Linked DNA regions of Mus musculus: regions 1 and 3 are each reported to be linked to region 2. Evidence: microRNA targets listed by miRTarBase, many of them from high-throughput screens and not tested one by one. Region 2 holds a microRNA gene; each other region holds the end of a gene's coding sequence.
The links. The annotated mature microRNA mmu-miR-10b-5p reads UACCCUGUAGAACCGAAUUUGUG and lies in region 2 at 2,842-2,864, opposite strand. An mRNA with a match to its seed (bases 2 to 7 or 8) in the 3' UTR can be bound and repressed. Matches are read on the target gene's strand: a 7mer-m8 pairs with bases 2 to 8, a 7mer-A1 pairs with bases 2 to 7 and ends in A, and an 8mer does both.

Region 1 (3,000 bases), not on the chromosome of region 2:
CTAATGACAATCTGTCTTCTCTTTGGTGTTTGCACATCTTTAAACTTTGCCTTTCTCTTCCTCTAGGAGACGCCCACTCGTGGACCTCCACGTTGAACTCATGGACAAAGTGTATGCGTGGAACAGTGGTGTTTCGTCTAAGGAGAAATACAGCCTCAGCCTGCAGCACACTCTGAGGAAGAAACTCATCCTGGCTCCTACGTGAGAACCCCAGACCGTTGGTGTTCTTGGTATATCATCCAGGGTGGCGGCTTGGAGCAGAGCTTGGCGGTTACGGCTGCTTCTGGCTGCTTCTGGCTCTGCCGTGAGTCCTGGCCTAGGGTTCTCCTGTGCACAGGCATGAGCCGTAACCCTGTGCCTGGGAAACGTCTCACTCCCGCCGCCGTGCCTTTACCTCTCTAAACTTCCCTACTTACATTCCTTAGTCGGATGTTTTGCCAGAGTGTGGAGAACAGTAAGACATAAACCTATTGTTTGTTTGTTTTTTTGGGGGGGAGGTTATCTACCAAGTTATACCAAGTTATTGTATGGGTGTATAGTGTATAGTGGTTCAAGATTTGACACTGAATGTAACTTGAGACTTACCTGAGTTTGTCATGCGACTGGGTAAATTGTTTCTATGGCACATCTAATCATTTAATAAGTAATTACCTCATTAAGTACCCATTGCTTCAGGACTTTCACATTGGCCACCAATTTCTGTGACCCAGCTCCACATTTATATTCTCTTTCTGCAAAACCAAATTTCATTATGTCTGTTTAATATCTACAGTCTAATGCTTTGTAAGACATCTAGATAGAAAAATAGTTACCCATGAGCACAGGAGGGCTGGCCTGACCCTCACCAGCTGTGCAGTGGCTTCGGTGAAGGAGAATGAGCCCTACTCCTTGAAGGTTGTAGTGCTTGGGAGAGCAGTCTGTACCTTGCCTGGGCAGCACAGTAGAGCCAGCCCCAAGAACACAACAGTGAGTGGGGGAGCTTGCCCTGGTTGGCTCAGGATCAGGAACAGGAGGGATGACCAACTTGGGGCTTTGAGGTGGCCCACCCCAGCATCCATATCATCTGTGAACTGCCAGAGCCTGTGAAGGGGCGGGTCCTGTAGAACTAAGGCTGCAGGATCTCCATGACACAGGGCAACAACAGGGTATCTGAGAAGGGTCCCCGTGAGGGTCCAGTATTTATAGTGCACCAGAAGCCAGAGGCCTCGGATCAGACAATGACCCATTGCACTGAGTAAAGATGTAAGTGAATGAGTGAAGATGTGTGGGCACACGGAAATACTGAGGGACACACACAAGCTTTTATGGAGATGTTTGTTTGTTTGTTTGTTTGTTTTTTGTTTCTTTGGCAGGAACAGATTGCAAGGGCAGAGAGTAGATAAGGAAGCTGGAGACATGAGTGGGGTTGGGTGCATGATATAGAATTCACAAAGAATCAAAAAAAAAAACTTAAAAAAATGGTTGCCTAGTGAGATTACTTATTTATAATTTATATAGCTAGCTTTTTTTGTAACAAGAGCAAATAGAATTTATTTATTTATTAAATACATTTGAAGCAAGGTTGTAACGTACGTAGCAAAACTCCTGCCATACCAGTACTAGCGTGGGGGAGGCCAAAGGATCACATGTTCTGAACCAGTCTAGGTATGTAGTAGCTGTGTAATGAGATTGTGTGTTTGCCTGCTTGTGAGAGAGAGGAGAGAGATAAATTCCAAAACATGTAACATGGTATAATTTTATTAGCTGCTATAAAACATGGTTATTTTACTTTGTATACTCTTGAGTAACCTAATAGTATAATCTATCTGTATTTGAGGATAGTAGTCAAACCCCTCCCCTCAGGGTTTAGGGACCTGTTCTGAAGAGGAGGCAGAAAGACTGTGAGAGCCAGAGGTGGTGAAGGGCTCCAGGGAAGCCGCATCTTCCAGACAGAACAGGACCCGTGCACATGTGGCTGACAGCACAGGTTCAAACCAGACAGAGTCCCAACACTGAGAAAGGGAGACGAAGTTGTGGGCCATTGTGCTCACACCTGAGCACAGTGGGAATCAGGAGTGTTCAACCCTCAGGGTTGTCTCGTCAGAGGGAGAGATGTATAACCTGTTTCTGCCCAGAAGGCAGGAACAATGTGATTCGTAGCTGGTGGTCTCTGCACTATTTGTACCACCAAGCCACACCGCCTCCCTCAGACTCAAGTTCATGTCAGTCAATCGGCAGTCTGCCCTCCCTGCCAACCTCATCAGGACCACTGTTTTCCCTGAGCCTGCTTCCTCAGTTAATTCAGAGAACCTATCTGTATGCAAGATGTTGCTTGTACTCTACAAGAGTTTCAGTATAGCCATCTCCTAAGCTTTTCTGTACACACAGGACTGATTAATTATCACCAGAAACTATTTTGAAATTGTGCTGTGCCTAAAATAAACTACTTGGTGCTAGACTCCAGAAGTTTGGACAAAAACTGTCCACTGAGTCACGTTGAGACAGACTTTCTTCTTGCTTCTCTTGGATCAACACCCTGCTGGTTAAGGTGTTTGCAGAGATCCCCACGAAGGGGAGGTTGTGCAGTAGATAGCTGCTGAGAAAGGGAAGTCAGCTTTCTCCAGTGGAGTGTTATTGGACATATCCATTACCCGTCAGGGCAGGCCCCAGACCCAGGAGTAATTGGCTAACATAAAATGGACTCTGTGTGCTTGTCTTTTTATTGATTTTCTTTCTTTCTTTCTTTCTTTCTTTCTTTCTTTCTTTCTTTCTTTCTTTCTTTCTTTCTTTCCTTCCTTCCTTCCTTCCTTCCTTCCTTCCTTCCTTGTTTTGTTTTGTTTTTGTTTTTTTGAGACAGGGTTTCTCTGTATAGCCCTGGCTGTCCTGGAACTCACTTTGTAGACCAGGCTGACCTCGAACTAACTCTCTCTCTCTCTCTCTCTCTCTCGTTTGTTTGCTTTGCTGTTCAAGTTTTTTCGTTTTTTGAGAGAGAGAGAGGGAGCGCAAGAGAACATGAAGTTA
Region 2 (4,472 bases):
GAGACCATCCCGGTTCCCACTGGGGTAAAGCCTCCAACCTTCATTTGCAAATTCAATCCACCAGCAGAGATTTTCAGGAGTTTAATGACTCGCCAAGGGTTTATGTTCTCAGTAGCTCCTGCCATATGATAATCTACTTAAAGAAGCCCGCCCACCCTCCCACCCTTCCCCACTTTAGGGAGGGGGCTGCCCTCGGGCAGGAAGGTAACCTAGTCCGAGGGCGGCCTGCAGGTCCCAGGTCCACCCCCACAGTACCTTAGAGCCCAGTGAGGTGACAGCAGGCCCCGCCTGCACCCGCAGCTTCGCCTCAACCTGGAGTGCAAGAAGGGATAGGCCCAGGGTCCCCACTTCTATAAGGTCGTCAGGTCCGTATGGTGGTCCTTGGCCATTGGCTGCAAATGCTGGCCCGGGGCAGCTGAAGAGGAGCAGGAAGATGAGGAAGAAGACCTGCCCTTGGTGTTGGGCAGTTTGTGGTCTTTTTTCCACTTCATCCTCCGGTTCTGGAACCAGATCTTGATCTGGCGCTCAGACAGACACAGGGTGTGAGCGATTTCAATCCGACGGCGCCTGGTCAGATACCTGTTAAAATGAAATTCCTTTTCCAGTTCTAGGACTTGCTGTCTGGTGTAGGCCGTCCGGGAGCGCTTGGGCTCCCCGCCGGTGTAGTTGGGGTTCACTATGAGACAAAACATACAAGACAGCCAGGTCAGAGCCCGGCCACTAGTTAGGCCCCAGGCTTGCCTCTGCCCTCACTTCCTGGCGCGTCTCGCAGCCCTCGGGCCCCCCCTGTGCTCCAAGCTGGCCAGCTTCCTCCCTCCCGCCCTCTCCCTAAACATACACACACTCCCACCCAAGCCCTTCCATGCACACACTCCCCACGCTCACAGGTCCTCCTCAAAGGTTCTCCCTTGCCACTGGCCCACCAAGAGCTCGGTATCGCCAACATTTTGGAAAGGTCCTTGTTTTGCTCTGCGTTCCCTCTGCTGTGGAAATGGAGTCCTCCCCCCACCCCATCCCCATCCCCACCCCCTTTTGCGCCCACAGCCAAGCAGCCAGCCACATGGTCCCGGCCTGCTCCCTCAGCTATAAAAATTTATGGAGAGAGTAATTGCGGCGCCCAAGGAAGCTGCACAAGCCCCTACCCATTCGCAACCCCTGGGGTGGGGGGTGCAGGCCAAAAGATGCAAGGAGTGGTGCGGGAGGGCTGTGAGGTCGCTGCCCCCACTCCTTACCCGAATTCACGTGCACCTTCTTCATCCAAGGGTAGACCACAGCGGGCTGCTTGAGTGCTGTCCCGGGGGGCGGCTGCTTGGGGCCGGTGGGCTGGCTGCAGGCCCGAGCGCCAGGCAGGGGCGCAGGCGGGGGCGCTGGGCACCGCTCTCCCGGGGCACCGTAATGACTTCCCGGGCCGCTCGGCTCCTGTCCGTGACCCCTCGCGGGCAGCGCTGAGCCAGGCCCGGGCCCGCCGCCTCCGAAGGGTTGCTCGCCGAAGTCGGGCCGTGGGTAGAGCCCCGAGGGCTGGAAGTCGGCGCCCTGTGCACCGCTGCCGTAGTAGTCGGCTCCCTGCTCGCCTAGGTAGCCACCCTGCAAATATTCCTCGCACGGAGGAAACTTGGGGTCCACGTACTTAGAGTTCACCATATACGAACTCATGGCCATTAATTTCAGAAGGTAGAAAATACTAATTTTTCTCGTGTTGTCTTTTTTCTCCTTCCATTGGGCCCTCCTACTTGCTGTCAACTGAATAAAGTTGGGCGGCCATGTGACCAGGCCAGCCAATAGGAAGAAAGCATGTTTATCACCGGGTTGGTGAGCATCTCATAATTTTCACAAATTTAACTAAATAACATACGTGTAATCAAGTGACTTGCCATGCCACATTTGAGAGTCCCTGACAGATGCTAATAGAGTTCTAATTCTATCCCCGGGGTCCCAATTTCCGGCAGGTAATCTCGGCTTTTGTCTTCCACTGACTTTGCTAACCTCCCATGCCCTCCTTACTCACCATCGCCTGAAGCAGCCCCCAGAATGGACATAGTTCAAAGAAGAGTGAATTCTCCTACTGGGGTGCAAAATAAGGAAGAATGAGTGTGGGCAATGTGGCCTCCGAGTTGGGTAGAGTCCTAGGCAGGCAGGCAGGCTGCCCGGCCAGCTGGCAGGAGTCCTGGACTCTGACATACAAAGACCTGTCTTGGCTTTGTCTTCATCAGGGTCACCCAAAAGTTACCAGAATCTGGCGGACCTGAATTGAGTTAGGCAATGAGTAACCACTATGCTTTTCTGCCAATGCGCAGGCTGGGGTGTTTCTAGTTGAAGTTGGATCTTTCTGCAGGAGGCCCTCACAGTTCTGAGTCTGGTGGCTGAGGGGTTGGGTCATATTGGGATGGTGGGGAGGGGGACCTTAACCTTGCCTAAATGTACCCCAACGGTCTCCGATGGCCTATCTTTCAGTTTGTCTTCTTCCCACACAAGGGCAGGTGAGCCCCATTTGGGTACCTTTGTGTCTCATGCTCCTTCAGAGCAGGGCTTCTGCTGGAGCTTTCTGGCCTTTCACCTCACTCTCTAATACCCTAAAACCTGGCTCTCTGGCTTTACACTCAGACAACCACTTGAGCACCTACTGGAATATCTATAGGAGTTTCTCCAGGAAAAGGCTGTACAATTTCACCAGGCAAAGTCGATCATCCTGGAGTCTAAGGTAATGAAAAAGAAAGAGGTGGCTTGCCGGCTGGGCTGCCAGTACTCTCCGCGCCTCAGTCTCTGGCCATGTCGGAGATATATGAAGTTTTTGCATCGACCATATATTCCCCTAGAATCGAATCTGTGACTATGTGGGTACCACACAAATTCGGTTCTACAGGGTATATATAGACAACGTTACAACCTCGGGTCCTACCCAGAGCAGACATTCAGGCAGCTGCCAGACCTGATCTCTTCAGCACAGCCACCAGGAACTCACCAAGCCTGGCTTTCAGAGATGGTGCAGGTAGGCTCGGTGCATTTCTAAGTATTGCTGCTCGCTACAGCAATGAGTTCCCTCATCGGCTTGCCAGGATGGGGGCCACCAAGTAGCTGAGCAGCCAGGACCTTCTTCTTCTTAAAAAAAAAAAAAAGAAAAGAAAAGAAGGGGAGTTTTTTTTTCACCCCAGAGATGGCGGCTTAATTGCCCCTTCTCAGAACCCAAATCTCCCGCCCCCTTATCAAGTGGTATTTCCCAAAAAGAAGCAAAGGCCCTCAGCAGCAGAAAGGGAGTTTTGAAAAAGGCAAAAGGAATAGTCTTCACCAGAACCTAAGCCAAGTGAGTGGTCACAGCTAGTCCTCCTAGAATTCGAGCATTTACCTTTCTGGGCCCTCAGCCCCGCCGGACTTTCGGATCCCGCTGCTGCTGCTTCTGCTGCTGCTATGACTGCTGCTGCAGACCCGGAGGCAGGCGCTGTTTGCGGCCACCGAGCCTCCCTGGGCTGAGACTGTCGAGCTAATGGTGAAGGGCAGGGCGAGGGGTCATTCGAAATCATTTACAAACATATCACAAAGTTTCATTATTTTTGCTTTGCCGACAGCAGCACAGAAGAGTACAAAAGTTCGCGAATTTCGCCGCCCCAGCGCCTCCGCTGTCCTGGGCTTGCCCCTCAATTCAGGGCATCAAGAGCCCAGATGCACTCTGGGGCTGGGCTGATTTCAGGGGCAGAGGGATGCCCTGGCCTGGGCCGAGCTTATGGATGCCTGATAACAGATTGAAGATGTCCACATTTCTAAGTATTGTTTTGATCCCTTCCTATATAATTCGAAAAATCACTTTCAAGCCCCATGCCTTGATTTTGATGGGGTGGGGCAGGGAGACTCCCCTCATCATATCTGGCAAAATTAGGTGCTCACTTTGACCCTGTACTTTGCCCTTCCATGCCCTCCCACCATCTTTCACTTCCACTATTTTGCAGGGATTTCCCAGGTGTCAGTTCTAAAAAAAAAAAAGGGGGTTAAAATCCGTTTGTTTAAAGACTCTCCCCAGTTTCTCCTAATGCCAGCCCTTTCACCCATGGACACGTTGACAGGCCTTTCTGGGGACACTGGGCCTACCTCTGTTTTACCCAGACAAATTGGGGAAGTCCGATGGGTTGAGTGAGGACCAAGATGAGTACACACATTTTCATATTTGTTAGACATTGTGACCTGCATTTCACCTTATTGCTCGACTTGTTCAGACAGGTCAAAGCCAACAAGTTATTGATGAACAAAAGCGTTAAATATTCACCTCCCTCTCAACTGCCCATACAAATGCTTTTGATCTCTCCGGCTTTTTGTGCTGTGGGCAGCTACAAGGCGCCAGCAAGCAAGCAGCCTCAGCAGAGATGAGCCCTCACAGCCAAGGGTGCCAAGGAAGAGGGCAGGGGCAAGGCCAGAGAAAGTCTGGGGAGTCCAGATTTTTCACCATGGAGCCTGGTTCACTGTGTGCAGGCCTGGTTCATAGAAGG
Region 3 (3,000 bases), not on the chromosome of region 2:
ACATAAACCAAGGAAATATATTTTTGTTTTGTTTTTGTGATTTGTGCAACAGAAGAACTTTTAAATTCCAGGCAAGCAAAATGGACATTTAAAAAAAAGTGGGGTAAGGATTCAGCCCTAAGGCGACAAGTGGTCACACAAGGCAATTAAACACACAGCAGAACTTTAAAACCTATAAAACAAACTGGAGCCTCGTTTTTCTTTAATCAAGATTTTTTTTTTAAATTTTCTGAAAATTTTTATTAAAAAAAAAAAAAAAGAACACAAAACACAGACTCAGTTCAATATGTGGCGTGTTGCATTTTCCAGTTTGTTCAATGCTTTAAAGCTCAAGGATGCCTCACTGATGTACACCGGCCTGAAGCATCCTAGCTTTTGGCAAGCAGGCAGGAGACTCAACAACAAAAACAAACAACAAAAACAAAAAATCAAAATAGGAACAAAGCGACTAAATGCAGGGCACATCTGTAAACATATTATACATTTGAAAATTACAATATCAGTAAAAGTGATACAGTTTACAGGTGAAATGAAACTATCTGAAACTGGCCTACCACAAGTTTCTGAACCTGGACTGATACAATAAGTTATTATATATATTATGTATAAAAAGTTTTGTTTACATCAAGTGGAATTGGCAATCCATGCTTATACTTAAAAAAAAAAAATCTAAGCAGGGCAGAAATCCAGACTAAAAAGTATTTTTCTCTGCAGTAAATCAAATAGCTTCTTTCATGAACATTTGTTAAAAACCTGAAATAGTTAACAAAACCAGAAAATCCATCCACACTACAATCGCTCAAAACTGGACATTTCTTAGAAAACAAGAGTAAAAAGTAACTACTTTCTCCCCCAAAAGTGTCTAGGGGATCCAGTTTGCCTTTGTTAGAAGACTGCAACTGTATAAATGCCCTGCTAGTTTAACTTGTATTTGACATACATGGATACATTGATTTCTCTGTATGTGTTATGTGTGTGATGTGTTGCTACATCAGGCCAGAGAACTTGTTTTTATGCCACTAACATCACCCAGTCTTATATTGGACCCTTCGTTTCTACACACACACACACACACACACACACACACACACACACACACACACACACACACACACAGACACAGACACACAGACACGCGCGCGCATGCTATACACAAGCTGCAGCACAACAGGATGGTAATGCGATGATAAGACAGGGCTAATGCTCTTTCTGCCCAAAACAAAATTCAGAATTTCACATTATTTTTCTTAAAAAAAAAAAAAAAGAAAGAAAGAAAGAAAAAAATAACCAAAGGAACCCAATCTTGCTCTAATGATAAAATATATTAAGATATAATCAGAAACAAGTAAGCTCAGAAGCAGAATTTGCCTGAAAACACACCTTCTACAATCAGGATTTATTACCTCCTCACTGGCTAAAAAAACAAGACAGTTTTCATTAATTTTTTTTTTCTTTTTTCGATTTTGCTGAGAAACTGAAATTAAAAGAATTTACAGAAAGGTACATACGTTTCTCTTAAATGGTTGATGAAAAACAAGAGTATACACTTAGTGTTAGTGACAGAGAGCAAGTCAGAGCACCTACAGCAGAAAAGCAGAATATATTTTTGCTCCCAGTTACACAATTACAATGGGTAATTATCAGCCAATTACTTGTTCTGCAACTTTTTTTTGAATGACACTCTTAGATGTTAAAAGTCCAAACATGTAACCAAAGTAAGTTAACTATATACCCACAAACTATTCCAGGATTGTAGAACTTCAATGCCCTCCCCCTGTCCCCACCCAACAAAAAATAAAAGGAAAGGAACTATTTCCCCAACACCCCACATAGGCTGCAGAACTCTTGGCAAGACATGCAAATCATTGTATTAAAACAAACAAAAAAAAACCAACAAAAAACAAACAACAAAAAACATCCCTGCAAACTTCAAGGCATTTATCCAGCATTCTCGCAGGGCTCAAAACTAAAAGATCAAGGGTGGAGTAGGGGAAAATGTTGAATCATTCTGGGTTCCCCGTGATTAGTGTATCACTTTAGTCACAGAACAAGGTACAGATACCTAGAAGTAAGTGGATTTGCCTTTCCAGTGGGTCATTTGTTGCCCAAGTAGATGACAGCAGGAACTTTAGAACCACGCTTGTTAAGTCTGTATTCATTAATCACTTGCATTCACACTTAAAAACAAAAACTAACAAAATAATAAAGAAAAGGACTATTCAGTACCGGAGATTAAATAACCATGTGTAGTCTCTTGAAATAAATTTGATTCCTTAAGAAGTCTAATTACTTTCAGTTGCCTTTTTTTAAATAACTATATATATATATGTATATATATATATATATTTGTATATATTATCCTGTGATTCTACTTATGGTTCCTCTGCTGCGTTGAAGATCTAGGAGCATAAAAGCCTTGTGTCCCACATGAACGGTGGCTCTAATGCTGCAGAAAGATTACAAATAGGCAGTCTGGTCCTTCATTGATCTGGACTATCCATGGCTTCATTGTAAGTGATTATCCTTTTGGGATCTAGAGGCAAAGTAAAAAAGTAAACTAATTAAGCACATTCAAAACAAAACCCAGATACAAATCACAAGCAATCATTCAACTCTTCTGATTTTTCAACCGGAACTGTGGCTGCTCAGCACTCCAAATAAATTCCCAACAACAGGTGCTCTACCACCCAGAGAAGACTTCAACCTCTAGAGACTAACCCTTTCCTGTTTCAGTTCCTTTAGTAAGGCGTTTTCCTTGTGATTCACCTGATTACAAAAGTAGGAAATGTAAAAAGAAGAAAAAAGCTCAAGTCATAAGATAATTTAATAGAGAAATTCTTGGGTTTATTTTGTTTTTAGCAGGAATTTAGCAAGGTCTCATGTGATCCAGGCTGGTCTCTAAACTTGCTGTGTGGATGACCTTGATTGAACTCCTAATGTCCCTCTTGACTGTACTCCTGCGTCTTTCTGCCAGGTGCTGCATGTGGCATCATGCCCCAG

Region 1: the mRNA of Cflar is a reported target of mmu-miR-10b-5p. Seed matches in the 3' UTR shown: 8mer at 1,141-1,148 and 7mer-m8 at 2,833-2,839.
Region 3: miRTarBase lists Nufip2 as a target of mmu-miR-10b-5p. The part of its 3' UTR that is shown has no 7-base or 8-base seed match.

Annotation. Positions count from the first base shown.
Region 1 is chr1:58,753,718-58,756,717 of GRCm38, forward strand. Cflar (CASP8 and FADD-like apoptosis regulator) reads left to right here. Exons shown (of 10, transcript NM_207653.6): 10 at 67-3,000. The coding sequence ends at 205. Among named protein-coding and RNA genes, the nearest start is that of Gm39646, 37 kb to the right of the region's middle.
Region 2 is chr2:74,724,466-74,728,937 of GRCm38, reverse strand. Mir10b (microRNA 10b) reads right to left here and starts at 2,868; the gene lies at 2,801-2,868. All of the region lies in intron 1 of Hoxd3 (homeobox D3), which reads right to left. It overlaps Hoxd4 (homeobox D4), which reads right to left. Exons shown (of 6, transcript NM_010469.2): 4 at 2,960-3,475; 5 at 1,233-2,062; 6 at 1-676. The coding sequence starts at 1,659. The coding sequence ends at 351.
Region 3 is chr11:77,709,216-77,712,215 of GRCm38, reverse strand. Nufip2 (nuclear fragile X mental retardation protein interacting protein 2) reads right to left here. Exons shown (of 4, transcript NM_001024205.2): 4 at 1-2,533. The coding sequence ends at 2,481. Among named protein-coding and RNA genes, the nearest start is that of Cryba1, 15 kb to the left of the region's middle.